Macaca fascicularis: one gene and its partners. The protein of the gene in region 5 purifies or fractionates together with the protein of the main gene of each other region. This does not show direct contact. Links are inferred from orthologs where the notes say so. Each region holds a gene or a part of one and is shown on either strand. Other genes may lie near its edges.

Evidence for each region.
Region 1: the proteins of PRPF8 (region 5) and C15H9orf78 purify together in Homo sapiens (affinity purification with mass spectrometry; 4 studies listed by BioGRID and IntAct, with this or other methods). This does not show direct contact. The link is inferred for Macaca fascicularis from reciprocal best matches to the Homo sapiens genes PRPF8 and C9orf78.
Region 2: the proteins of PRPF8 (region 5) and SNRNP70 fractionate together in Homo sapiens (co-fractionation; 3 studies listed by BioGRID, with this or other methods). This does not show direct contact. The link is inferred for Macaca fascicularis from reciprocal best matches to the Homo sapiens genes PRPF8 and SNRNP70.
Region 3: the proteins of PRPF8 (region 5) and TTC27 purify together in Homo sapiens (affinity purification with mass spectrometry; 3 studies listed by BioGRID and IntAct, with this or other methods). This does not show direct contact. The link is inferred for Macaca fascicularis from reciprocal best matches to the Homo sapiens genes PRPF8 and TTC27.
Region 4: the proteins of PRPF8 (region 5) and EFTUD2 purify together in Homo sapiens (affinity purification with mass spectrometry; 9 studies listed by BioGRID and IntAct, with this or other methods). This does not show direct contact. The link is inferred for Macaca fascicularis from reciprocal best matches to the Homo sapiens genes PRPF8 and EFTUD2.
Region 6: the proteins of PRPF8 (region 5) and SART3 purify together in Homo sapiens (affinity purification with mass spectrometry; 4 studies listed by BioGRID, with this or other methods). This does not show direct contact. The link is inferred for Macaca fascicularis from reciprocal best matches to the Homo sapiens genes PRPF8 and SART3.
Region 7: the proteins of PRPF8 (region 5) and CRNKL1 fractionate together in Homo sapiens (co-fractionation; 3 studies listed by BioGRID, with this or other methods). This does not show direct contact. The link is inferred for Macaca fascicularis from reciprocal best matches to the Homo sapiens genes PRPF8 and CRNKL1.

Annotation. Positions count from the first base shown.
Region 1 is NC_088389.1:14,078,747-14,081,915, forward strand, and holds the end of C15H9orf78 (splicing factor C9orf78 homolog), read left to right. Parts: intron 1-296; coding exon 297-433; intron 434-540; coding exon 541-639; intron 640-1,591; coding exon 1,592-1,683; 3' UTR 1,684-2,555; downstream 2,556-3,169. UniProt on the Homo sapiens protein: Plays a role in pre-mRNA splicing by promoting usage of the upstream 3'-splice site at alternative NAGNAG splice sites; these are sites featuring alternative acceptor motifs separated by only a few nucleotides. May also modulate exon inclusion events.
Region 2 is NC_088393.1:57,072,693-57,076,472, reverse strand, and holds part of SNRNP70 (U1 small nuclear ribonucleoprotein 70 kDa), read right to left. Parts: intron 593-3,780; coding exon 528-592; intron 378-527; coding exon 315-377; intron 1-314. UniProt on the Homo sapiens protein: Component of the spliceosomal U1 snRNP, which is essential for recognition of the pre-mRNA 5' splice-site and the subsequent assembly of the spliceosome. SNRNP70 binds to the loop I region of U1-snRNA.
Region 3 is NC_088387.1:89,391,435-89,395,214, forward strand, and holds part of TTC27 (tetratricopeptide repeat protein 27), read right to left. Parts: intron 369-3,780; coding exon 171-368; intron 1-170.
Region 4 is NC_088390.1:65,951,898-65,956,211, forward strand, and holds the start of EFTUD2 (116 kDa U5 small nuclear ribonucleoprotein component), read right to left. Parts: upstream 2,847-4,314; 5' UTR 2,770-2,846; intron 2,443-2,769; 5' UTR 2,374-2,442; intron 347-2,373; exon of another isoform or gene 343-346; 5' UTR 225-342; intron 1-224. UniProt on the Homo sapiens protein: Required for pre-mRNA splicing as component of the spliceosome, including pre-catalytic, catalytic and post-catalytic spliceosomal complexes. Component of the U5 snRNP and the U4/U6-U5 tri-snRNP complex, a building block of the spliceosome.
Region 5 is NC_088390.1:1,807,039-1,811,491, reverse strand, and holds the start of PRPF8 (pre-mRNA-processing-splicing factor 8), read left to right. Parts: upstream 1-1,541; 5' UTR 1,542-1,622; intron 1,623-1,821; 5' UTR 1,822-1,832; coding exon 1,833-1,932; intron 1,933-2,690; coding exon 2,691-2,859; intron 2,860-4,129; coding exon 4,130-4,294; intron 4,295-4,381; coding exon 4,382-4,453. UniProt on the Homo sapiens protein: Plays a role in pre-mRNA splicing as core component of precatalytic, catalytic and postcatalytic spliceosomal complexes, both of the predominant U2-type spliceosome and the minor U12-type spliceosome.
Region 6 is NC_088385.1:115,358,219-115,361,426, reverse strand, and holds the end of SART3 (squamous cell carcinoma antigen recognized by T-cells 3), read left to right. Parts: intron 1-220; coding exon 221-411; intron 412-1,094; coding exon 1,095-1,272; 3' UTR 1,273-2,522; downstream 2,523-3,208. UniProt on the Homo sapiens protein: U6 snRNP-binding protein that functions as a recycling factor of the splicing machinery. Promotes the initial reassembly of U4 and U6 snRNPs following their ejection from the spliceosome during its maturation.
Region 7 is NC_088384.1:67,252,933-67,257,184, reverse strand, and holds the start of CRNKL1 (crooked neck-like protein 1), read right to left. Parts: upstream 3,000-4,252; 5' UTR 2,886-2,999; coding exon 2,835-2,885; intron 1,194-2,834; coding exon 1,041-1,193; intron 22-1,040; coding exon 1-21. UniProt on the Homo sapiens protein: Involved in pre-mRNA splicing process. As a component of the minor spliceosome, involved in the splicing of U12-type introns in pre-mRNAs.

The DNA of each region.
Region 1 (3,169 bases), on a different chromosome or scaffold from region 5:
GTAGAAAGTTGGGAAACTTCTAGGCTCTTTTCCGGCCTTGCAAACTTTGAGCCTTAAGCATTTTACTTCTCTGAAACTCAATTTGCTCTTGATCAGAAGAGCAGAGTAACTGTGGTTCTCTGACGGCCGTGAGAGTTCCGTGAGAATGTGACTACAAGTGTGATTGGTAAACTGGAGAGCTGTGTCCCAGGACACATGATTTTCTTATGTCCTGCTGGGCTGCCAGCCTCACCACTCACATCTGAGTAGTAAGGTGCTACCATCTTCTAAGTGGTATGGTTTCTTTCTCTCCATAGTGCTAAAATTAAAAATATAATTTCCACGGAGGATGCCAAGGCCCGTCTGCTGGCAGAGCAGCAGAACAAGAAGAAAGACAGCGAGACCTCCTTCGTGCCTACCAACATGGCCGTGAATTACGTGCAGCACAACAGATGTAAGCCCCTCAGGGAGAGCGGTCTTGTCCCCTTTCCCTTATTTGGGCTGAGGTCCCTAGGAACCTCATGTTCCGTCTAATGTGTCCCCTGGTCTCTTTGGGTCCAGTTTATCATGAAGAGCTCAACGCACCCATCCGGAGAAACAAAGAAGAGCCCAAGGCCCGGCCCTTGAGAGTAGGCGACACGGAGAAGCCAGAGCCTGAGCGTGAGTGCAACAAAGGCCCCGGGGCTGCCTGGAGTGCTCAGCTCTGTGGGGGCCCATGGAGGCAGGGTGCAGCGGGGGACAGTGTGGAGGTTGGCACTGAAGCTGGGGCATCTGGGTTCCAGTCCATGCTCTGGACCATGACTATGTGCCTTCCCCTTTCTAAGCCTCAGTTTCCTCATGGGAATCCTAATAGAACCTACCTGTGTTAGGATTGCTCTGAGAATTCAGTATCAAGCATACAATCTCATATTCTCAAGCACAGTAGAGACTCAAGAAGTCAGAAAATTTCAGTAAGGACAAATAAAAGCTACTCATAAGGTTAGCTGAGTGCAGTGCCTCACACTTGTAGTCTCAGCTGCTGGGGAAGCTGGGGCAGGAGGATCGCTTGAGACTGAGAGTTCAAGGCTGCAGTGAGCTATGATTGGACGACTACACTCTAGCCTGTGTGACAGAGTGAGACCACATCTTTTTTTTTTAAAGAAAAGAAAAAGGTATTGGCCAGGCTCGGTGGCCTACGCCTATAATCCCAGCACTTTGGGAGCTAAGGCAGGCAGATCACCTAAGGTCAGGAGTTCAAGACCAGCCTGGCTAACATGGTGAAACCCCGTCTCTACTAAAAATACAAAAATTAGCCAGGCATCGTGGCAGGTGCCTGTAATCCCAGCTACTCAGGAGGCTGAGGCAAGAGAATCGCTTGAACCCGGGAGTTGGAGGTTGCAGTGAGCTTAGATCATGCCATTACACTCTAGCCTGGGCAACAGGGTGAGACTCCATCTCAAAATAAGAAGAAAAAGACAAATAAGTGTCTACGGAGGCCCTACTATGTTCACTGGGTTAGGCGCTGGGGCTCCTGTGGGGAAGGAAACAGGCAGTTGTCTTTGCCTACCTGGAGTAAAGTCTAGCAGTGGGTTCCAGCATGGCAAGCCACCTTTCCTGTTCTTTTCCTTCTCAGGGTCCCCTCCTAACCGCAAGCGTCCTGCTAACGAGAAGGCAACTGATGACTATCATTATGAGAAGTTCAAGAAAATGAATAGGCGGTACTGAGCTGTGCAGAGTGGGATGTAAATAGCGCCTTCCTCTCCCTATATCCCTCCCGTGAAACATGGCTTCCTGGCCGGGCATGGTGGCTCAGGCCTGTAATCCCAGCACTTTGGGAGGCAGAGGTGGGCGGATCACCTGAGGTCGGGAGTTTGAGACCAGCCTGACAAACATGGAGAAACCCTGTCTCTACTAAAAACACAAAAAAGTTAGCCGGGCATGGTGGCACATGCCTGTAATCCCAGCTACTCGGGAAGCTGAGGCAGAAAAATCACTTGAACCCGAGAGGCAGAGGTTGCGGTGAGCCGAGATTGCACCATTGCACTCTAGCCTGGGCAACAAGAGCAAAACTGTCTCAAAAAAAAAGAAAAGAAAAAGGGCTTCCTGGACAGAGCATGCTCATTTGCTAGCGAACAGTTCCAGAAACAGACCCTATTGGTCCTTCTGCTTACCTGCTGGATTTTTCAGGCACTAAATTTATAACTTTTTGAAACAAAACAATGTGTAATTTTCCATTTGGGGGCAAACTCTATTCTTGTGAGCATTATTAAATCTTGTTTGTAAATATATTGTCTTTTAATATTTGCTCTGGGTCAGGAAGAAACTGTTCACGGTGTGATAATACCCTTTAGATTGTGCTTTCATTATTATAGATGCATCGTGTCTTCTGCTTTCACGTATCTGGGATGGGGTCAGACATGCATCCTCCATTGATTAGAGTGGGTCCAACTGACAGAAAAATCTAGGATGAGATCAGAAGGATACTGGTGTTTTCTGACTTTTACAAAATTACTTGTTTGTTTTCATTTAAAAAAAAGCATAAACTATGTTTCTTATTACTATTAGAATTGAATTATTAAATTTCAAAATGAATCTAACCATATTGTTTGTATTATGTTTCCTTATACCAACATCAGGTAATGTTTTCAAAGCCCATGGTTTGGGTAGCTAAATGTAAAATTGAATTACTGAGATGGATTTTCTCATTTATTTCAAATGTCATAGACGTGCTGCAACCTGCTAACTGTCAAGTACCTTCTTACCTGTGCCCTCATTTTTCCTGAGGCATCCACATGGTCCGGAAGAGGAAAGAGCAGATTGGCTGACTTACGGGCGGAGTTAGAGCAAGTATTGTGGTTATGGTGGTTTGGCCCAGGAGTCACATCTGAGCCCAGCTCACAGCTTACTAATTGTGTCCTTGGACAGATCCTTTTCACTCTTAGCCTCAGTTTTCTCATCTGTAAAGTGGAGACTTTTTTGTCCTCCTCCACTTGAATGTGGTCAGTGAAGGCAGGAACCATGTATGCCTAATTTTTAAATTTGAAACCCCAGGGCATAGCCCACAATCTGACACATAGGCAGCCCTCAAAACTGTGAATGATCCCTATAGTGTCTGGCTTGTAACAAATGCACAAAAGTATTATTTGAAATCCAATATGAAAAGTTGAACCTTAAAAAATATTTTCAGGATATTTCAACTAGCATTTAACAG
Region 2 (3,780 bases), on a different chromosome or scaffold from region 5:
TACAACCAGTAGCAGCCAAAGACAATGTGTAAACAGACAGACCTGCCTGGCTGCGCAGCAGGAAGACTTTATTACAAGCAGTGAGTCTGCGGTTTGCCAACCCCTGCTCTCAATCAACCACCAGCAGTCATTACTTCTCATTTTACTTCTGCTACCCAAGGTCTGCTGCATGGAAATACAGTCAGGATGCACAAACCCAGGCCCTGAAATGCTGTGAGCCATGCTCAGGGCTGGGACCTCTCTCCCTCCCTTTTAGGATACGGCCCCTCCTCCATGCACCCCCAATTCAAACACCCTGATCCCACTCCACTTACTCTTTTGATGGGTCCGTACACCTCAAACTCTCTCCGGAGCTTGGATTCTGTTGTGTCATAGTTCTACAAGGAGATGAGTATGACGTTAAATGGGAGAACAGAGCTGTCCCACAGCTCCTGGAACATTCCCCAGTACCTAGCCTATCTGCCCTTTGGGCCAGACCCAGGCTCTCAGCAGCGTGGGGTTCCAGGAGCTAGGAACTGGGGACTTACCACTCTCGCCACGAAGAGAGTCTTGAAGGCATCACCCTGAGCATTGGGATCATTGTGAGGGTCCCCTGTGCAGGAAGAAGGGAATTTTGTAAGTTGAAGGTGTCCATGGTCTCAGGTAGGAAAACAAATACGATGGGCAGAGGCCAAGAAGAAAACAGTGGCACTGAGAGAGGCCCCTAGCTGGAGGAACATGGGTGGTGACCTGGCAACCTCAGGCACGCCCCTCTCTGAACCTGTTTCTCTGAGGCACAGTGGGCTTTATCAGAGTGGCTGAGAGATAATCCAGGCTGCTGAGGGGAGGAGGTAAGGCTGACTTCAAGCTGACAGGATGTGGCAGGCCCAACTGCCATTTCAGACCTACATAAACCCTAAGGGCCCCATCGCTCCCAGATGCAAGGTGATCCAAACAGTAACAGCCCAACTGGGCCTCCCTGGAAATGCAGCTGATGCCCCCAGGACCCATCAAAAGAGTAAGTGGAGTGGGTCAGGGTGTTTGAACTGGGGGTACCTGAAGGAGGGATCCTATCCTGAAAGGGAGGGAAAGGTCCTTCCTGTAGGCAGGGCCACACTGCCACCCACTGGACACAGACTGCAACTACAGCCCACAGGAAAACCTGAGACCAAGCCACCCCAGGGCTGCGAATGAGAGCCAGAAGAGCAAAAGCTAAGTAAGCTCTGCTTTCCCGTCTGTGCCCTGTGTCTCTAAAAGGAACCCAGGAAGTGACGAGCATCAGATTAGATCCTCACTCCAGCCTCGCTGTGAGGCAAACTGTCCTACCTGGCGACTAAGGAATAACAATCTCCAAAGAAAAGAGCCAGGAATCTCCTGAGAAACCAATTCCATAGTGATCCTGCTGAGTGAGGCCTGGGAATAAGTCCTTTTCACCAAATATGGCGGCCCCAGCACATAACGACCCTGACTCCTGCCGGGGCCTTAAGGACACTCTGCTGGTTCTTCCATGGCATAGGGCTCCCCTCAGAAGCCCTGTCACATTCTGGGAGAGTATGAGAAAAGGAGTAACATTAACCCAGAGGTTGCAATTGTTTGAACTGCAGACGTGCGAAAAATCAGACCCTGGCGATGACCCTGAGCAGGATGTAAATAACTCCCACAAGCTTAGCATTCCAATAATGGAACACTAGGCATAAAATTTACTGAGCACATACTATGGCCCAGACACAGTGCTGGACACTGATATTTATTTATTACTGTTTTGCCAATGGAAGCAAAACAGAACTCGAGACACAGAAAAAGGGAGGTGTCAAAGTGGCAAAGGGCCAAGGCAGACTTCACCTCTCACCCCAGGCACTCGAACTACCAGGCTCCTTCCCCGAACCCCGAGTGCTACCTTTTCAGGAAGACGGTGTGGGTGTTGCCAGAAGCTAGAGAAATAAAGTATCAGATTTTTTTTTTGAGACAGAGTGTCACTCTTGGTGCTCAAACTGGAGTGCAGTGGTGCCATCTTGGCTCACTGCAACCTCCGCCTCCCGGGTTCAAGCGATTCTCCTGCTTCAGCCTCCCAAGTAGCTGGGACTACAGACACACACCACCACGCCCAGCTAGTCTTTTGTACTTTTAGTAGAGACGGGGTTTCACTATGTTGGCCAGGCTGGTCTCGAACTCCTGACCTCAGGTGATCTACCTGCCTCAGCCTCCCAAAGTGCTGCCATTACAGGCGTCAGCCACCATGCCTGGCCTAAGGGATGTTTTAGAAAGCAGAAGCTTGAGCCACAATTTAAGGGAATCGCTATCTGGGACGAATGGAAATATCTGAAAACAACTCCATCTCGGTGTTCTCCCCACCCACTCCTCAAAGTTGCTTGCCAGGCTGGGCTCGGTGGATCACACCTGTAATCCCAGCAATTTGGGAGGCTAAGGCAGACGGATCACCTGAGGTCAGGAGTTCGAGATCAGCCTGGTCAACATGGCAAAACCCCATCTCTACTAAAAATACAAAATTACCAGAGTGTGGAGGTGTGCGCCTGCAGTCCCAGCTACTCAGGAGGCTGAGGCAGGGGAATCACTTGAACCTGGGAGGCGGAGGTTGCAGTGAGCCAAGATCGTGCCACTGCACTCCAGCTGGGGCAATAAAGCGAGACTCTGCCTCAAAAAAAAAACAAAAAAGTTCCTTGCCATACCACATCCCTGAGCGTTGTAATTTTCTATGGCCAGGTCTCTCAATTTGCACTGGCTTTTTTTTTTTTTTTTTTTCCTGCACCAGCTAACTCTCATTCATTCAAAAGTAATTCTTTTTTTTTTTTGCCGATGTTTGTGCTTTTGTAAATAGGTAACTCTTTTTTTTTTTTTTAGACGGAGTCTCGCTCTGTCGCGTAGGCTGGAGTGCAGTGGCCAGATCTCAGCTCACTGCAAGCTCCGCCTCCCAGGTTTACGCCATTCTCCTGCCTCAGCCTCCTGAGTAGCTGGGACTACAGGCGCCTGCCACCTCGCCCAGCTAGTTTTTTTGTACCTTTTAGTAAAGACGGGGTTTCACCGTGTTCGCCAGGATGGTCTCGATCTCCTGACCTCATGATCCGCCCATCTCGGCCTCCCAAAGTGCTGGGATTACAGGCTTGAGCCACTGCACCCGGCCGTAAATAGGTAACTCTTAAGCATCTACTATGTGCCTGGAAATACTATAGTTGTTGGGGATTTGGCAGTAAACAAGACAAAAAAGGCTGGCCGGGCGCGGTGTCTCATGCTTGTAATCTCAGCACTTTGGGAGGCCAAGGCGGGCGGATCACGAGATCAGGAGATGGAGACCATCCTAGCGAATACTGTGAAACCCCATCTCTAATAAAAATACAAAAAAATTAGCCGGGCGTGGCGGCAGGCGCCTGTAGTCCCAGCTACTCGGGAGGCTGAGGCAGGAGAATGGCATGAACCCGGGGGGCGGAGCTTGCAGTGAGTGGAGATCGTGTCACTCCAGCCTGGGCAACAGAGCGAGACTCCATCTCAAAAAAAAAAAAAAGGGTGCTGGGCGCAGTGGCTCACAGCTGTAATCCCAGCATTTTGGGAGGCGGAGGCAGGCGGATCACTTGCAACCAGGAGTTCGAGACCAGCCGACCAACATAGCAAAACATCGTCTCTACTAAAAATACACAAAAAATTAGCTGGGCATGGTCCAGCTACTCAGGAGGCTAAGACAAGAGAATCGCTTGAACCAGGGAGGCGACGAAGGCTGTAGTAAGCTGAGATCACGCCACTGCAGTCCATCCCGGGCAACACAGTGAGACTGTCTCAAAAAAAAAAAAA
Region 3 (3,780 bases), on a different chromosome or scaffold from region 5:
AGCCCACAATTCAAAGTATGTAGGTTAAAGACTCTGAATCAGAACTGAACTCAGGCATACTAATCTTATCTTTCAGATTCTTAAACTCTTCCTCCACCCATCAAAAAAGTAGATCTACTACAGACATGTTCAAATGAAAGGTGAGGACTCAGGAGGAATGAAGGACTTGCCTTTTCATTTTCATCAGGCTTTTCACTCTGCCCATTTCCATATACTTGAGCATACAGCCTCCAGATTTCTCCATCATTTGTCACTCTTGAAGTCACTCTGCCAAATAACTCCTGCAGCTTTCCTTTGAGGCCAGTTGTGACATCTCCACTTCGATCAGTCATCCCATTAATCACTGCCCTGACTAGAATTTTAAGAACCTTAAAAATGCACAGGAGAAACTGGTAAGCTAGAAACCAACAAACAATAACAAAAACAAAGAGCTACCTCACCATCATCAAAGACAATGACAATGAAAAACCTTGTGAAATTTGTTAAGAGTATCACCTTTAAGCTTTTGAAAAACAAAATAAAATTCAATCCTGAAGCACTCTCTAGGATCTCAAGCTGACTACCTCTCTGGATGTCCCTTCAAAAGCTTCTGGAGAGGGTTCTTTCATTCAAAGGGCCCCATGTTCGGTGCTTGGCTCTTCTCACCTGGAACATTCTCTCTGAGTGACTGGAGGCTTCACTAGTGTCTATGCAACTCCAGCCAGATTCCCCTCTGGAGCTCCAGGACTGTGCACCTCAATACCTACCAGACAGGTCATACCGACATCCCTCTCCATCTATCCAAGGTGAAACATAGATCTCAAATCGCTCTTCTTCCTGGAATCTCTAGGTGAGCCTATCCACACAGTTCCCAGAGCCAATAACCTGAGCATCAACCTAGATTCTCTTGCACTTCTGCCACAACTACTAATTTGATTTTCAACATTCCTAATGTTGATTTGTTTTGGTTTTCAACATTTTCTTTCATGCTCCCCATGTGCATGTTCAATGGCCAGTGAAATAGCTGTTGTCCTAAATAGAACAACATTGAAAACAACGTTGAAAACAATCCTAAATACAGCTTCTCCTACCTTAGTTTAGGCCTCATTAACTTCAATCTGGGCTGCTATAATAACCTTTCTAACTCTGCTTAAAGAAGTCCTCAGCCCCTCCTAATTACTAAATGACAAACTGCTAATACATGTGCATGCGAAGTATCTAGTAAGTGTCTCTTTTTCCAACTACCTCAAGTTAGCTCACCATTTTTTTTTTTTTTTGATGGAGTCTTGCTCTATTGCCCAGGCTGGAGTGCAGTGGTACGATCTCAGCTCACCACAACCTCCGCTTCCCGGGCTCAAGTGATTCTCCTGCCTCAATCTCGACTACAGGTGTGCACCACCATGCCTGGCTAATTTTTGTATTTTTAGTAGAGACGGGGTTTCACTATGTTGGCCAGGCTGATCTTGAACTCCTGACCTCGTGACCTGCCCGCCTTGGCCTCTCAAAGTGCTGGGATTACAGGCGTGAGCCACCGCGCCCAGCCTAACTTCTTGGCTATCTTATTATCATCTGTTAGTCTTTACACATTCTATCCCAGATGCTTTGAATGCTGACAGATGGATTAAACTGCAGCCTGCAGCAGGTTATATTATAAAAAGGCACATCTATCATATCTACATTAGGCTGTGTACCTGAAGGCACAGAAAACACAACCTCAATCTTCCACTCCTTTGATGGTGGGACAGCAAAAGAACCAGCTTGAGGAAAGTACTGTAACACCATGCTAGTCAGCGCAGTCCATGGACTGACAGCACCGGCATCAGAGCTTGTTAGAAATGCAAAATCCTGGATAAAAATGCTGATCCATCTTGGACCAAGATTCTGCATTTCCAGTAAGCTCCCAGGTGATGCTGATGTTGACGGTCTGTACAGCACACTTCAAGAAGCAAGATTCCAAGAGACAGCTGCCCGCATCTTTATTTTTACCGTGAACTGTGGGGAGAGGATGGCATTTTATCATTTTGTATCACCATTGTTTAATATACTGCCTGGCATATGGCAATTGCCCTGACTCAATAAATGCTTGTGCCGGAAAGTGTAGCTAAGAGAAATGCAACCAGTGTGAGATCTTGCTGTCTCCTCCTAGGACATTCTGATCTGTGTATGAGATGTGGCTGAGGAGTAGAGGCTCCTCTGGAACGTGGATACTTTTAGGAATGTGAACTCAGACTCATGGTCCTAATTATCTATAGTGATAAAAGAAGACAGAAAATTCAGTTGTGCTTTTTTTTTCCTGTTTGGACAAGGTACATTATCTCTGTCTGTAAATTCACATTACAATCCCACATGTGTACTTTTAAATCTGAAAGTAACGAAAATCATATTACAATCCCATTGGTGTTTTAAATCTGAAAGTAACAATGCAGAAGAAACAGTCTGAATGTGTACTACTTGCTTCAAGTGGTCATTCTATAAGCATGTCAGGTATTAACATGTTTTGAAAAAGATGGTCTATTAAAATAGTTACTAATATGTAAAAATGAAACACAATAATGAGTGATACTTTGCTTCTTCTGGAATCCCACAGTTGGTTCAACATCCCATCCCTTCACTTTAGCCTACTGGGGAGACGATGTGGGGAGAGAAAGCTTTTGGTGTTCTTGCCAATAAAAATGAAGAGCTGTAGTGCTGGCGTTAAAGATGGAAAAAGTTGGTCAAGTGGGTGTGTGCCTCCTCTGTGTATGCGTGTGTGTTTGCAGGGGCATGAAGGGAACTGCAAAAGGGCAGGGAGGTGAAGCATCTGTCTGTTGTAGGGGGTAGACAGGGGATGAAACTGTAGGTAGGGCAGATACTGAATGCCTCTGCCCAGTTCATATGCAGATGTCCCCCGAAGAGAGAGGAACAGGGGCAATGACCAATTTGTTTCATGCTCCCCATCTGCAAGTTCAATGGCCAGTGACATAGCTGGGCCTGGAGCTTAGAAGAGTTCCACACTGGAGGAATAGATAATGAGAGTCATTGAGGGTCATGGCAGATATTGCCTAAAGAGACTGTGTTGGGCAAGAATAAGGCTGAGGATAGAATCTTAAAGAACACAACACTTAAGAAGAGGGCAAGTAGGCTGGGCGTTGTGGCTCACACCTGTAATCCCAGCACTTTGGGAGGCAGAGGCAGGCGGATCACCTGAGGTCAGGAGTTCAAGACCAGTCTGGCCAACATGGTGAAACCATCTCTACTAAAAATACAAAAAAATTAGCCGTGTGTGGTGGTGGGTGCCTATAATCCCAGCTACTCGGGAGGCTGAGGCAGGAGAATCACTTGAACCCAGGAGGCGGAGGTTGCAGTGAGCTGAGATTGCGTCACTGCACTCCAGCCTGGATAACAACAGCGAAACTCTGTCTCCAAAAAAAAAAAAAAAAAAAAGGGCAAGTAGAGAACTCACTCATCAAACTAAAGGAGTGGTCAGAAAGGTAACAAAGTGATGTCATGCAAACCAAGGAAGGAGAAAGTTACAAGGAAAGTACATCCACGAAGGATCAGGAATGGAAGATTCCAGTGGATTTGGCAATCATAAGGGTGAGTGACCATAATCCAGAACCAAAGCCAGAACAAGAAAGGCAGGAGAGATCATGACTTCAGACAAGAGGCTTAAAAAGAAAGAGAAAAACATAAAAACCAAGATGATTATTAACATCACAAAAAAATGAAGAGAAGCCCCCCATAATCATAGTATCCTATAATACTAATTTTGAATATCATTTGCATAGGCATTTAGTGTATTTGTTTAACCAAAATCGTTAA
Region 4 (4,314 bases), about 64 Mb from region 5:
TCCCCTATCCTACTAGAGCTTTTTGCACCTTTATCAGTGTTTAATTTTGTCTTAAATAGTAGTTAACTGGCTGGGTGCAGTGGCTCACACCTGTAATTCCAGCACTTTGGGAGGGCAAGGTGGGCAGATCACGAGGTCAGGAGATCGACACCATCCTGGCTAACACAGTGAAACCCCATCTCTACTAAAAATACAAAAAATTAGCCAGGTGTGGTGGCACGCACCTGTAGTCCCAGCTACTCAGGAGGCTGAGGCAGGAGAATCACCTGAATCCAGGAGGCAGAGGTTGCAGTGAGCTGAGATTGCACCACTGCGCTTTAGCCTGGGCGACGGAGCAAAACTCTGTCTCAAAATAAATAAATAAATAAATAAACAAACAAACAAATAGTAGTTAACTGTACTAATTACCATCACCAACTATAGTTTATAAGCAATAAATAACAGACTAGAGCATCAGGGCTCTGGAGTTGGAAGACTTAGATTCAAATTCTAACTTTGCCACTAACAACTATGTAACTTCAGGTAAGTTGCTTCATCTCTCCAAACCTGACTTTTATTCCTCAACTGGAAAATGGAATGAATAATCCTCACTGAATAAATGTTTATGAGGATTACAAAAAACACCCTGTGTAAAGAATTTACCAGAGTCCCAGGCTCAATAAACAGCTAGCATTATTTTTTGCCATCCTTGATCATGAGAACCCTGTGTTCCATGCATCTGCTTCTTCCCTTCACTTCTTTTATGATACTAAATTTAATTTTAAAATAATACCAAAAAGTGGCAAGAACAGTACAAATAACTTTCTTTTCCCCAAATATTTGACAGTAAGCTGCTGACACAATGCCTCTTCAGCTCCTAATACTTTAGGGCAAGAATTCACAAACTCTGACCTGTGGCCAAATCTGGCCCCTCCACCTGTTTTTGCATGGTCCTCCAGCTAAGAATGCATTTTACTTTTTTATTTTTTTGAGACAGAGTCCCATTCTGTTGCCCAGGCTGGAGTGCAGTGGCACCATCTTGACTCACTGCAACCTCCACCTCACAGGTTCAAGCGGTTCTCCTGCCTCAACCTCCCAAGTAGCTGGGATTACAGGCACCCACCACCTCAGTTGGCTAATTTTTGTATTTTTAGTAGAGATGGGGTTTCACCACATTGGCCAGGCTAGTTTCGAATTCCTGACCTCAGGTGATTCGCCCGCCTCGGCCTCCCAAAGTGCTGAGATTACAGCTGTGAGCCACCGCACCCAGCTGCATTTTACATTTTTAAATAGTTGAGAAAAAAGTACCAATGCTAACACAGTCAACAGCCAAGACAGCACCTTGCATAAGTAGAAACTGGATAAATGTTAACTGAATGGGATGTTTAATTTTAAGATGCTGATATTTCTTGGATTAGACTGATACCTCCACCTCCCTCAATGCCATCTGCTGGGTGCTGAATGTAGAGAGAGAATCGGAGCTCCAAGGACCAATAACTAAATGTAAATTATTATGGAAACTTTCACATGCATACAGATTCTTTTTACTTCCAAAAAGCTATTATCGCATTTATGCTTATCTCATTCTCCCAAGACCCCAGTCAAGTGCTTGAAGAAATTATTTATCTATTTATTTTATATATATTTTTTGAGACAGAGTTTTGCTCTTGTTGCCCAGGCTGGAGTACAACGGGACGATCTTGGTTCACTGCAACCTCCGCCTCCTGGGTTCAAGAGATTCTCCTGCCTCAGACTCCCGAGTAGCTGGGACTACAGGCGTGCACCATTACGCCCGGCTAATTTTTTTGTATTTTTAGTAGAGGGGGGGGTTTCACCATTTTGGCCAGGCTGGTCTCGAACTCCTGACCTCGGGTGATCCGCCCGAGTCTGCCTCCCAAAGTGCTAGGATTACAGGCGTGAGCCACCGCGCCCGGCCGATTGAAAAAAATTTTATATAAAGCTGTTCATGGAACAAGCCAAGTTCAGTTCTGCCTCAGGGCCACTGCACTTGCCATTCTCTTTGTCCAAAACGCTCTTCCCTTTGATATTTTCACCTTGTCCCTTTATTTCAATCAAGTCTCCACTAAAATGTCACCTTCTCTGTCACTCTAAAAAGTCCCCCATACATACTCTCCAACTTCCCACTTTCACTGTTTTATTGTTATTCACAAATGTTATACATTTATCACTAGCTGACTTCTATCTAGTTGTTTACCGTTCATTTCCCCAACTACAGTTTAAGCAAGGGCTTGTTTTGTTTACTTAGAACAGTGCCTAGCGTAGACTAAGCCCTCAATACGTATTTATCGAACTAATGAGTGACTCTAACATGGTACAGAGAATATAGCTGATTTGCCCACAGTTACACAAAACTAGCGACTCATGGTTACAAACCTCACTGCTGCTTCCCGCTACAATGCAGGCGCTCAAAGGGAACGTCGGAGGGAACTTGGCAGAGAACGGCTGAAGGCGGCACAGATGGAAAAGGGAATGAGCGACGGGACTGGACAGTTAGAGCAACACTCCTTTCTAGGGATACGATTTTACGGACTGAGGCTATAGAGGCAGCCCCGAAATCGAGGTGTGTGCGTGCGTGCGCGCTTCGAAAGCTTTGGGGAGGCACGCGGAGGAGAGGACCTTCCATTATTTTTTCCGCTCCAGGCCTCAATTTACCCATCCGTAAAGCAAAAGGGGCAGATAGCATATAAGGCCTCTTCCAGATCTGACGCTCTTTAATTTCCTATCCCACCTGGAGCAAGCATTCCTTGCCGCTAACCCGCTTCAACTTACCTCCCGCCTGCTCAGCTAAGAGTTCTGAGGCCGCCGCCGGAGAACGCGCTTCCGCCCCACGCCAAAGAAACGTCTGCGCCCGCCGCCAGGAAGGACCCCGCAGACACCGCTGTCGCCTTTCTGCCCGGGAGGACAACCCTCCGCCTGAGGACCAGTTCCGAGGTATGCCCTCGCGGAGACAGGAACTGGCAAGGCGGAGTAGCCGGTCCCCAAGACGAGTAGCCCAAGACGTGGGCTGCTCCAAAGAGGGTGAGACCTGAGGATGAACGAATCTGATCAGGCGCCTCGGGACTACCCTGAAATGGGGGGGGCCTTCCGGCAGATCACGTGGCCAGGCTGTTAGCGCAGTTGCTGGGCAACCACAGCTGCGGGAGTGGTCTGCGCGGGGCTGCTCTCATGTTGACTTATCAGGGGATCTCCAAAGAAAACAAGGGGACCAAGGACGGGGCTGCTGGGGTGAAGGTCCAGGAGGCTGAGTAAGGGGACAGAAGGGTTAGTAAATGCCTGGGGAGGGCTGAGAACTGGACACTTGAGTTCGGTTACTGGCCAGCCCAGCCCCTTCTTGGCGTTCAGATTCCCCACGTTGGGGTAGGGTGGCTGTGGGATTGGTTGGGGACCTCCTGCTTCCTTGCGCTAGGGCTGTTGGTGATGACCCCGCCACAAAATCTAACTCAACTCACTAGGAGTTTGCAGTTCAGAGAGGTCCCACAACAAGTAAATGCCAGAGCCACGACTAGAACCCACGTAGAGAATCTCTCTGCAGATGGCTCACGCCTGTAATCCCAGCACTTTGGGAGGCCGAGGCGCGCGGATCACTTGAGGTCGGGAGTTCGAGACCAGCCTGGCCAACATGATGAAACCCCGTCTCTCCTAAAAATACAAAAATTAGGCGGGCGTGGTGGTGCACGCCTATAGTCCCAGCTCCTCGGGAGGCTGAGGCACGAAAATTGCTTGAACTCCGGAGGCAGAGGTTGCAATGAGCCGAGATCATGCCACTGCACTCCAGCCTGGGTAACAGAGCAAGACCCTGTCTAAAAAAAAGAAAAGAATATCTCTGTAGAAATCAGTCAGCCTCAGATACGCAGAAGCTACAGAAGTACAGTGGTAGAACTAAAGACATTGCCCAGGTACCTAGGGACCTCTGTTCCAGCCCTGGGCTGGACAGAGGGATTTGGGATCGGGTCATTGAGCTCCTTCCTCTGCCCCTTCTGCTTGATTTCCTGCTCAGTCATTGCGTGTGGTTTGGGTGAAAGTCTCCTTCTTCACTAAAGACATTCAATGAAGAATGAAACTTTATCCCTGAGCTCAAAGGTACCTAACAAGAGTTCTGCTTTTGTGTGAGGTCCCCTGTTGAAACGACTTGCTGTAGAACAATCCTATGGGGGAAGAGTGAAGAAACTGAATTCTGAGATCCAAATGCCTCCTCGACTGAAGCACCAAAATTAAAAGTATTTTTAGAGGCACAGAGCAAAATTAAGACAGAACTCCAAATTGAAAGTCAGGACTCTGTATTCTATTTTCAGCGACAAGTCTTGTGTAAGTCCT
Region 5 (4,453 bases):
CCTGTAATCCCGGCACTTTGGGAGGGCCGAGTCAGAAGGATTTCGTGAGGTCAGGAGTTTGAGACCAGCCTGGCCAACATAGTGAAACGCTGTCTCTACTAAAAATACAAAATTTAGCTAGCAGTAGTGGCACCTGCCTGTAATCCAGCTACTCTGGAGGCTGAGGCAGGGGAATCGCTTGAGCCTGGGAGGTGGAGGTTGTGGTGAACTGAGATCGCACCATTGCACTCCAGTCTGGGCAACAGAGTGAGACCCTGTCTAAAAAAGAAAACAAAAGGAATTGTTTTAAAATTTTTACCGTTCTGAAAGCACATTGACATCCTTTGCATTTTTTTTTCTAATTATTTCACTTTGATTTGTAAATTCTCAACTAGATTGAGGGGCTGTATGGGTTACAATTCCTCTGCATCCTCCCCAATAAACTTGGTGGGAATTTCAGACTTTTTGTTTGTTTGTTTTTTCCGAGACGGAGTCTCGCTCTGTAACCCAGGCTGGAGTTCAGTGGCGCGATCTCGGCTCACTGCAACCTCCGCCTCCCGGGTTCAAGCGATTCTCCTGTCTCAGCCTCCCGAGTAGCTGGAACTACAGGTGCATGCCACCACGCCCAGCTAATTTTTGTACTTTTAGTAGAGACGCGGTTTCACCATGTTGGCCAGGCTGGCCTTGGACTCCTGGCCTTAAGCGATCCGCCCGCCTCAACCTCCCAAAGGGCTGCGATTCCAGGCGTGAGCTACCGCCCCCCCCCCCCAATGAGCTTGATTCTTTCTGCTCCCCTGTGAACCCTACTGGTTGTCTTTTTTCCTGCTTTATCCCTCGTCCTCGGTAGACAGTGGGCACTCAATAAAGAATGGTTAAATGAATGAATGCGGCCGGGCGCGGTGGCTCAAGCCTGTAATCCCAGCACTTTGGGAGGCCGAGACGGGCGGATCACGAGGTCAGGAGATCGAGACCATCCTGGCTAACACGGTGAAACCCCGTCTCTACTAAAAAATACAAAAAACTAGCCGGGCGAGGCGGCGGGCGCCTGTAGTCCCAGCTACTTGGGAGGCTGAGGCAGGAGAATGGCGTGAACCCGGGAGGCGGAGCTTGCAGTGAGCTGAGATCCGGCCACTGCACTCCAGCCTGGGCGACAGAGTGAGACTCCGTCTCAAAAAAAAAAAAAAAAAAAAAAAAAAAAGAATGAATGCATGAACAAATGACCGTCCTGGAGCTAGTACTGCATTGCACGTATACATTGATGACAACAGACATCGTACAATGCGCAATCTTGGCAAATTTATTAAAAGCTTCCAGACTTCGGTCTCTCGCAGGGCGACGCCGGGAGCCTATCACACACTGAGGTCTGTCGGGTGCCTCAGGAACAGCCTCGGAAACGTGGGAGGCGGGGCTTCCCCGACCACACCCCCTTGTATTCAAAGCCTTTCCGCCTGTGGGCCCGCCTCCTCGGCGCAGTGTGCCACTCTAATTGGCCATCTTACCAATCCATCTGAGCACCTCGGCGCCGATTGGATCAACTGCTGAAGTCGGGTTGCGCACTTTCCGGCGCTGGGAACGCGGAGCGGACGCACACTGGCCGCCATTGCGCTTCGGAGAAAGCGGCCCCCTGTGTGAGGGGTTGTGGGGTGCGTGGCAGGCGTTTAAGGCCGGGCTGCGGGAGGCGTGGTCGGGTCGGGCTGAGTGACCGAAGGGGTTAGGCCGGGCGGGGCTGGATGCACTCAGTGTGGCGGGATTGCAGGCCGGGGTCCCCGGACGCCTTTCTGCTGCGCTTCTTGTGGGCCCGGGCCTGTGGTTAGTGAATTTTTCTGTCCCGCCGCTGTCCAGATTCTCCGGGTATGGCCGGAGTATTTCCTTACCGAGGGCCGGGTAACCCGGTGCCCGGCCCTCTAGCCCCGCTACCGGACTACATGTCGGAGGAGAAGCTGCAGGAGAAAGGTGAGTCGAGTGTGGAGCGGCGCGCGAGCCGGAGGCGGGGCGGGTGTTCGCGCGCGCAGGTGGCTGGGGACCCTCCCCGTTTGGGCAGCTCCCGAGGTGACAACTCCCTTGTTAGCCCCATTTAACTTTTTATCAAGTCATTTTAAGCGCGTGTTATCTGCAAGCGCTGATCCAGTAGTGATGGAGACAAAATTCCTGTCCTTACGGGGTTTAAATTACAGCGGGAGAGAAAGACAGTAACAAAACCTTGAGGATCTGTAATAAAAATGTCAGGCCGGGCGCAGTGGCTCACACCTGTGATCCCAGCACTTTGGGAGACCCAGGCGGGCGGATCACCTGAGGTCAGGAGTTCGAGACCAGCCTGGCCAACATTGTGAAACCCCATCTCTACTAAATATACAAAAATTAGTCGTGTGTGGTGGCGCGTGTCTATAATCCCAGCTACTGGGGAGGCTGAGGCAGGAGAATGGCTTGAACCCGGGAGGCGGAGGTTGTAGTGAGCCGAGATCGCTCCATTGCCCTCCAACCTGGGTAACAGAGCAAAACAACGTCTCAAAAAAAAAAAAAAAAGTCAGATAGTAATAAATGTGATGAAGGGAAAAACATAGTAAAGTGGTAAGGGAATTGGCAAGGAGTGTTGCTTCCTGCTGGATGCCTGCTCCTCTGTCACACTCACTGACAGGAGCTTACCCTAGGGCAAGAGGTGAAGAGGATTAGGCTGAGGGTGTGCAGTCCTTTAAACTGAGGTGCCTTTGTAGCCCGAAAATGGCAGCAATTGCAGGCGAAGCGCTATGCAGAAAAGCGGAAGTTTGGGTTTGTGGATGCCCAGAAGGAAGACATGCCCCCGGAACATGTCAGGAAGATCATTCGAGACCATGGAGACATGACCAACAGAAAGTTCCGCCATGACAAAAGGGTTTACTTGGGGTAAGGAACATCCTGAAATAACTTCATTTGGAATTTGGTTCTTTTCCCTTTTCCCTGTCCCACAGTCTTGGATAGATGCTCTGTCATTTTGGAACAGGACGCTGCTTTGACAGCTCATCTTGGTGGATATAAGAGAAAGGAGAAAACCAGTAGGAGTCTCTGATAATTTCTACATCTTCCACTTACGCAGTCTGTTTCCCTTCTGTTCCTGATCTGGGCCTGGGACTTTAATTTGTCCTGTTGATGCTGTTATAAGATATCCCTGTCGTTGAGCTGTTTGAAGCCCAGAGTGGGAGACTGTGCATAGTGGCAGCCTGTCACTCCTCAGGGACCTGAATTCTGTGTTTAGGGTATTTAATTTCAGAGGTATCCCTACTGCTGTTTTTCTGTGGCTGTAAACTGGGTGGGTACAGGTACAGATGTCTTAGCAGATTCCTGCTCTATTTGGACACAAAAACGTTTGCCGTGTAATGAACTGGAAGTTTTGTTTATTTCAAAAAATAGTTTGAGAACTGTGCTGGCTGCTTGGGGTATAGTAGCGAGCAGAGGGTAACAATCTCCGCCTTTCTGCAGTGTGCAGTCTAGTGGCATGACAGACATGAGACAACTGGTGATAGTGAAGTATGGTGAATACTTTATTATGATTTATGAGAAGATACTGAGGGAATAGGATGTGAGACAGCCGCAAAGCTGTCTCCAGAGGGATAGCTGTTGATTTAGAGGAGCTGATACCAGCATTGTGGGACTATGACATTTAAGAAGAGTGCTGAGGCTGGGCGCGGTGGCTCAAGCCTGTAATCCCAGCACTTTGGGAGGCCGAGACGGGCGGATCACGAGGTCAGGAGATCAAGACCATCCTGGCTAACACGGTGAAACCCCGTCTCTACTAAAAAATACAAAAAAAAAAAACTAGCCGGGCGAGGTGGCAGGCGCCTGTAGTCCCAGCTACTCGGGAGGCTGAGGCAGGAGAATGGTGTAAACTCGGGCGGCGGAGCTTGCAGTGAGCTGAGATCCGGCCACTGCACTCCAGCTTGGGCGACAGAGCGAGACTCCGTCTCAAAAAAAAAAAAAAAAAAGAAGAGTGCTGCAAGATGAAGTTGGAGAGGGAGAGGCAGGGTTTCTGGTTAGGAAGGGCCTATGGGCTAAGTCTGGGAGTTTGGATTGTAAGGTAGGATTTACTGTGGAACATGAATGTGTGGCTTCTCTGCATGGGACAGGTAGCAGAACACCTCGTCATTTCTAATAGCCTTCTCTTTTTCTAATGTGCCAGTGCCCTAAAGTACATGCCCCACGCAGTCCTCAAACTCCTGGAGAACATGCCTATGCCTTGGGAGCAGATTCGGGATGTGCCTGTGCTGTACCACATCACTGGAGCCATTTCCTTCGTCAATGAGATTCCCTGGGTTATTGAACCTGTCTACATCTCCCAATGGGGGTGAGAAAGGCTGAAATATGGTGGGCAATGGTGGTGGTGGTTGGGGGCAGTGGGTAGAAATGGTTGTGTGATGTTCTTGCCTTCTAGGTCAATGTGGATTATGATGCGCCGAGAAAAAAGAGATAGGAGGCATTTCAAGAGGATGCGTTTTCCCCCTTT
Region 6 (3,208 bases), on a different chromosome or scaffold from region 5:
TGAAGTTACAGTGCGTAGCAGCAGTTGGGAAGGAGAGTAGGGTGGGGAAATAAGCCTGTAGACAGAGGATGCAGTGGTGGGGAAGGTAACCTGTTGGTTGGTCATTTGCTGTGGCCTGGTCTGCTGGTCTCAGGGAGGAAGCCCAGTGCCTGCCCTGTGGGAGGAGGTTACGTCCCTGGTCTGTGGGATCTGACTTGGTTCTGAATCTTGCCTCTTCCAGGGCCTGGCCTATGTGGAGTATGAAAATGAATCCCAGGCGTCGCAGGCTGTGATGAAGATGGACGGCATGACTATCAAAGAGAACGTCATCAAAGTGGCAATCAGCAACCCTCCTCAGAGGAAGGTTCCAGAGAAGCCGGAGACCAGGAAGGCACCAGGTGGCCCCATGCTTTTGCCGCAGACATACGGAGCGTAAGTGCTTGCATGGTAGACTAGTGCAAACTTCGTCCTGGCTGGCACCAGTTCATGGACCATGGGGGGATTAACCCGGCATGAATTAGCTTCCTGTTAGGACAGAAAAGCCAAGACGTGCTGTTCCTTGTGGTAATCACTGTGGTTCCACTGGAGCAAGGCGTCCAGAGCAGGATGCAAGCCTAGGCAGTGACCTCTGCCTGGTACTGGCCAATTTACACTTGTCATTTATTTCAGACAAAACTAAAGGCAGTGATTATTTTCAAGTCCCCTTTGCCAGTTGGAGCTATGTTTAAAACGAAATCTTATACCCACGTGTGTGCCAGTCTACAGCCCTAGCTATATGATCCACATAAGCTGTGCTTTTTGCCTGCTAGGGATGAGGAGGAGATAGCAGAATTGCCGGGTGACTGGCGAGGTCTGAGAGGTGATAGTCACACTGATCCCCTCTGAGTGCGACTGGTGCTCAGGGTTGATCTTTGCCAAAACTGAACAAGGCCAAGTCTGTCGAAGCAGTTTTTACTTAACAGCCAGAATTAAGGAGGCAGGGATTATCTCATCCTTTTTCTTTTCCCCCTTTTAGCTTCTGGTTATATTTAAAACTATCTTGGCTTATTTTTACAAATAAATGAGGGGCCACAAATTGTTGCTTCAAAAGGTCCATTCAGTGTTTGCTTTTCTAGGAGGGGGAAGGGAAGGACGCAGCTGTCTCTACTGCCTCGTGCCCTGCAGCGCCCAAGTGCTGCAGCTCCTCAGGCCGAGAATGGCCCTGCCGCGGCTCCTGCAGTTGCCGCCTCAGCGGCCACCGAGGCACCCAAGATGTCCAATGCTGATTTTGCCAAGCTGTTTCTGAGAAAGTGAACGGGACTCTGGGAGACAGGAAATGCCTTACTTCACTCTGGCCCGGCGGACCTCCCACCACCCCGCGGTGCACTGGGGATGGACAGGCCTGGTGTGCTGCCCGCTCGCAACCACAGATGGCTCCTCTGCTTTAGACAGAAAGGGGGAAGGGGTTCTAAGTCAAGAGCCTTTCAGTGCTCCCTCATATTGAGGGCAGTGGCAGAAAAGTGACCACTCTGCAGGCTCCCTGGGCCCAGGATGTGGTGTCCCAAGATACGTTTGTATCTTAAAGACTGAGGCACAGAAGCGAAACAAGAACACGGTTTTTGAGATGCAGTTGTCCAAATGTTTCTGGCCAGCTCCGGCCCCTTTTTGTATGACACTTCTCTTCTACACTGCACAGCACATGTGCCCGTCATTCTTTTAATTTTAAAAGATGAAATGGCAGATGCTAGTAATTCACCAGAATGGCCTATTACGGGGGTGGGTCTGAGGGAAGTCATCTATAAAACATTTACTGGATTTTTGTTCAAGGGGGCTGTGCATTTTTATATTATGTATTTGTAAATGACATGTCAGCCATTATTTCATGTTTCCTAAAAGCAGAATATTTGCAACATTTGTTTTGTATAGGAATTATTTGTGCCACCTGCTGTGGACTGTTTTCTTTGCCTAGTGACTAGTGACCTGTGTTGTCTAAACATGAGTTCAGCCCTTTGGTTTTGTTTAATACCATGTCAAATGCAAACTTCAATTCTCCCCATTTAGCTTTATTAAACTGAAGTTCTCTTCAAAACTTCTTGCTGAATGGTACTCAGATGTGCATTCACATACAGATGTGTTTTGAAGTGGGTGTACCTTGCTTTACCTAATAGATGTGTAAATAGAGCTTCTGTAAGTCAAATCCCATTGTCACTTTGATTTAAATTATTTCAGCTGTGATGTGTCTTCAGTTTTTATACAATTCAGTTTATAGCAGTTTGACACTGGAGCTTTTGAGCTTTTTTACCTCACATCTTTATCAAATATTTATTGCTTTGAAAACAGCATTGCCAGTTCAGTAGGGGAAGCTTACTTTATTAAGACACTCTGGAGAAAGATGTCAGGGAATCCTTGTGTATGTCATAGGAATCAACTCCTCATTTATCTGTTGTGTAAGTAAGTTTTTGTGCATCAGTCGGGCTTTTCTATATTTTTTTAACTTAACATTTTTTAATATAACCGATTAAAAAGTAGACAGAACAGTAAAATAAACTCCTGTGTGCCTACCATTCAGCTTCCAGCATTCCTCAACTCCCAGCCCCTTTTCCTTTATGTCTGTCTCCCTTCCACCTTCTGTTATATTGAGGCATGTTCCAGATGTCATTGTGCTCGTCCAGTAATGTTGTGGCAGGTGTCTCAGGACTGAAAGGCCTTCACTCCTAGAAACATTAGTGGTAATCCCTTAATGTCAACTGTCCACTCAAATTTCCACCTTCCTATAAATATCAGCTCTCCTCCCTGTAAATTATTGGTTCGTAAGCCTCTTACATCTTTTAAAATGTAAGTTCCCCTCCGTCTCTTTTTTACACAAAACAAACTTTTTACTAGACTTCTGAATTAAATTCAAGCGCTGGCTGTTGACAGCAGCAAGAACCTTTGCTGTCCCACGTGTTCTTCCTGCAGTGTTCTCTGTGATGCTGTTTGGAAGGCTGTTCAGCTGGTGAGATGATTTGGGTAGCTCAGAGGGAGCCCTCATGGTTGGGGACCTGACACGTGAAGAGCCGTGAACATCACTATGGGTGAGTGTGGCCTTACTTTTCGCTGCTTCACATTAACGGTTTGGCTTTCTTGCCTGCAGCCAGTATTCTGACCTTAATGTCATACTTGCAGATGTCAACCCAGGCTTGTTACAGGGGCAAACCTTTTCGGGCTTGAGCAGAACCCAATTTAGGTTCGGGGTGTTGACTGTTCTAGA
Region 7 (4,252 bases), on a different chromosome or scaffold from region 5:
TCTTATGTTATCTTCAAAAGTCTGGAAGAAGGCAAAAAGGGTCAAGTCAAAGGGCAAATGACTAAAAATGACAGCACCCTTGGTCTATTTTAAGTCTTGTACTAAACTGGTTATTCATTTTGTTCATATTTAAGAGAAATTACATCCTGGAATCCTTGAGGAATAAGAAATCCACTACAGAAGGTTACAATCAACTAACTGATACTTTGAAATAGTCTATGCTTGTCCCTAATAAAAAATATTTTGACTATTACCCGTAAGTCCTCTGGTAACGTTCAGAATTTCATATATAACAGAATTCATGCTTTAAAACAGTCCCACATTCTAGAGTGAAGAGGTCAAATCAGATCCCAAAGTCTTCTCATAGTCCTTTTGCAGATCTCAATTCCTTTTCCTTTCTTCTCTTTTTTCTTTGAGACAAAGTCTCGCTCTGTCGCCCAGGTCGGAGTGCAGTGGCATGATCTCGGCTCACTGCAGACTCTGCGTCCTGAGTTCCTACGATTCTCATGTCAGCCTCCTGAATAGCTAGGATTACAGGCACTTGCCACCACGCCCGGCTAATTTTTGTATTTTTAGTAAAGATGAGGTTTCACCATTTTGGTCAGGCTGGTCTCAAACTCCTGACCTCAGGTGATCAGCCCACCTTGGCCTCCCAAAGTGCTGGGATTACAGGCATGAGCCACAGTGCCCGGCCAGATCTCATTTCTTAACACAGAAGGTGGTATAGACAGAAGTACACAGTCCAGCCTTACTAAGCATACCCCCTTCCAGTTGTCCGTTGTTTCACCTGCTAAACTTCCACCCATTTTTGATTCAGTACCAAAAATTATGCAGATTCAATTGTTTTATACTTTAACCAGACAACTCAAGGCATATTTTATATAGTTCAGAAAAATGCTGTTATCTGGTAACCAGAAGGCATTATTCATGTGTCTAGGAACACTAACCTCATCTTGCCCTACAGAATCCAACCAGCTTTTCAAACTCTGACTGATACACTCTTAACAATTAGTGGACTGAAAGATACCACACTGACTGACCTTCCTTTTCCTTAGTTTATAATCATTTAATTCTTCTTCATCTGTGATCTTCTGTTGAGGTGGAGGTGGAAGAAGCTCAAGTTCTCTTTCTTTAGCCTCTCTTAAGAGTTGTTCAGCAGTTATCTGTACCTCAGCCGGGGCTTTGTTTTTCACCTTTTAAGAACAAGACATTTCTATTTTTAGTAGATGCTCTTCACACAAGGTTTAAGAAACAAACATACATTTTTTAGGATATGAACTTCATTAGTATTATCACAAGATGCTCTCTTTGTATGACATGTTCCCATCCTCCATGAGACTAAAAAGAAAAAAAAATACTATGTTTTCTCTCTTATTCATGGTATCTACTACAAAGCCACAGGTAAAAGTCTCAAGAGAAAAAGGTGGCAAAAATAATACCAAGTTTTCCCTTTTAGATGAGTATAATAATAAACTTTGAGGCTGTGTAGGTAAAATTCTGACCAGAGGGTTTATCAAGATGTGTAGCACATCTTATTAATAGCATTACCACCTGCATTCGCAGAATTCTTCAACTTATTTAATGCCCCTGGTGGAAAAGTGGGTATGGTTTTTCACGGAACCTCAAGTCAAAGGCACTATTCAATAAGTTCCCATCATTAGACTGTAAGTTTCTTGAGGTCTTAGAAGTTTACAGTCTAACGTAGCTTAGAGCTGTGCTGTCCAACACAGTAGCTATGAGTCACATGTGGTGAGCACAAATTGAGGTGGACTGTAAATGTAAAATACACACTGGTTTTGAAGATGAAGTATGAAAAAAAGAACAAACTATCTCACAGTTTTTATACCGATTACATGTTGAAATTATAATATTTTGGATACATTAGTTCAAATAAAATATATATTATCAAAATTAATGTCACTTTTTTTGCTTTGCTTTTACTTTTTAATGTAGATAGGAGAAAATTTAAAATTTCATGTGCTGTGCACTGTATTTCCATTGGACCGGTGATGCCCAATAAAAGTGTACGTAGCTGAATTATAAAAATTGTTATTTAATGCCACGTGTGGAGTAATGATAATGGTGATAGCTCATATTTAATAAGCACTAAGTGCCAGACACACTGTTACTTGCTCTACATGCATTACTTTTGCGAGTCAGACAAATAGTTACGTAAAGGTCCAGTTCAAGAGAGTCATCTGGGCTCAAGAAAGACTGGAGGGAGGATATCTGTAAAGGCTTCAGACAAATTCTGACACATATTAAGCACTTCGTAAGTATCAGCTATCGAGGGAAATACCAGTTAGTAAATCTACTGTTTAATTAACTTATGATACTATACTACTACTGCCGTCTATTCTCACCCTCCGCTGTCAGCTGGGCTAACTCCTATTCAGTCTTCAAGTCTCAGCTTAAAGGTCATTTCCTCAGCAAAATTTACTCTCAGGAACCCTTCATACGACCCCCTTATTCACGCCCATGGCATATTCTACTTTGCCTCTCAGTAACATCTGGCAAGATCGTCCTCATACACACACTCGTGTTTTGAGTACTGCTTCTGGCCAGCGTCCGAGCGTAGCTTCCCAGCGCCCAGTGCAGTGCCTGGGTCAGTAAATCTTCACTGAACCACTCCACTCCTCCTCCCTGCAAAACCACCCCATCGTGCTCCGCGATGACAAGAGCCCGCGCCCCACCACCAGCTGACCCTTCCTCTCCATCTCTCAGGGTGGGCCCTCTCCCCGGCGGGAACACTGTCTCCCGCCCGGGGCACCCCCAGGGCTGAGGGATGCCCCTCTCCTGGGCCACCTCCCACAAGGCCCCTCGCGATCGCCTACCTTGGCCACTTTGGGAATCCGCTGTTTCCCGGCCGCGGTGGAGGCCGCCATGTCTGCAGCAGCGGACCTCGGGGCACCTGTCCCCCGCACGAAAGCTAGAAATCCGCGGTCTGAGAGCTCACCGAAACCACAAAGATTTCCGACAACAAACAGGATCCCGGAATCGGAAGCGGAACTCGCCAGGCTGACCTTTGACCTCTCGCATGCGCCGTGACGGACGTGGCACCGTTTCCATGGGGACCAGGCTGCGCGTCCTCCTTACAGCAGCGCGCGGAGTGCGGCGTCCTGGAGCTGCGCGTGAGGTGGGTAGCGCCGGCCTGACTAGCAGCGACGCGAGGACTGCGATTCAGGGCGTCAAGGGCGTATCCCCAGGTCAGCCTCCAGAACTGGGATGACCAGGCAAGGAAGAGAGGCTCTGTCTAGCCGTGGCGCCCTGCAAGGGAGTAGGGTCGAAGCTCCAATCTGGATGCTCGAGGGGCGGGGGAACGAAGGGAGAGCGAGGAAACTACCATTCCCAGTATGCGAAGGGGCGAGCTGCCGCCCTTTTAGGCTGTCTGGCTCTGCATTGCATTCTAGGTCTTGTAGTCTCTGGGTCCACGCCCCCTCGTTTCTGGTTTCTGGACAGTTGTGCCCAAATAATTAACTCTAAGGCTTGGAATTAAAAATAACAGAAGGTACTTAGAAGCCAGATATTAGGACAAAATGAAAGTAAAAAATAGAGTAACTAGAAAACAACTCAGTCTTGTGATAAGAAATATGTTTAAATTCTGTGTGTGCCTTAATTACTCAAATTTTCTTAGCCTCAGTGTCCTCAACTATAAAACAAGGGTAATACCATCTGTTTCACTAGGATTAAAGACAAATGCTCAGTAAATGTAGCTATTATAATACTTAACCTGCCCTCAAAAACGGAAAAATTAAGCAAAAGTTAAAAGAATTTTTTTAATAGACAAATTTTTAGAGAAGTTTTAGGTTCACAACAAAATTAAGTGGAAGGCACAGAGATTTCCCCCCTCAACAGCTTCCTGCCATCAATTATTATACCTCTTCCCCACTTTAACAGCCTCCAACTCTCAAAAATATCCTCCACCAGAGCGGTACATTTGTTACAATCATGAACCTACATTGACACATCATTATCACTCAAAGTTCGTAGTTCATGTTGGGGTTCACTCTTGGTGCTGTACATTCTATGAGTTTGGACAAATGTACAATGACACGACTTGGCAGCACATTTGTTAGAATAATTTTCATAGTTGCAAGGCTCTTTTGGTTTTTGGGGAAAATATATATTGTGTATGTAGTAATATCACGTCTACCAATGCAGCTATTGCTTTCAAAAAAAGATTGATGCAGATTTCTAGAACTGCAGTTATAACCAACATCAGTATTTTTGCCATAACTCTTTATTAACCATA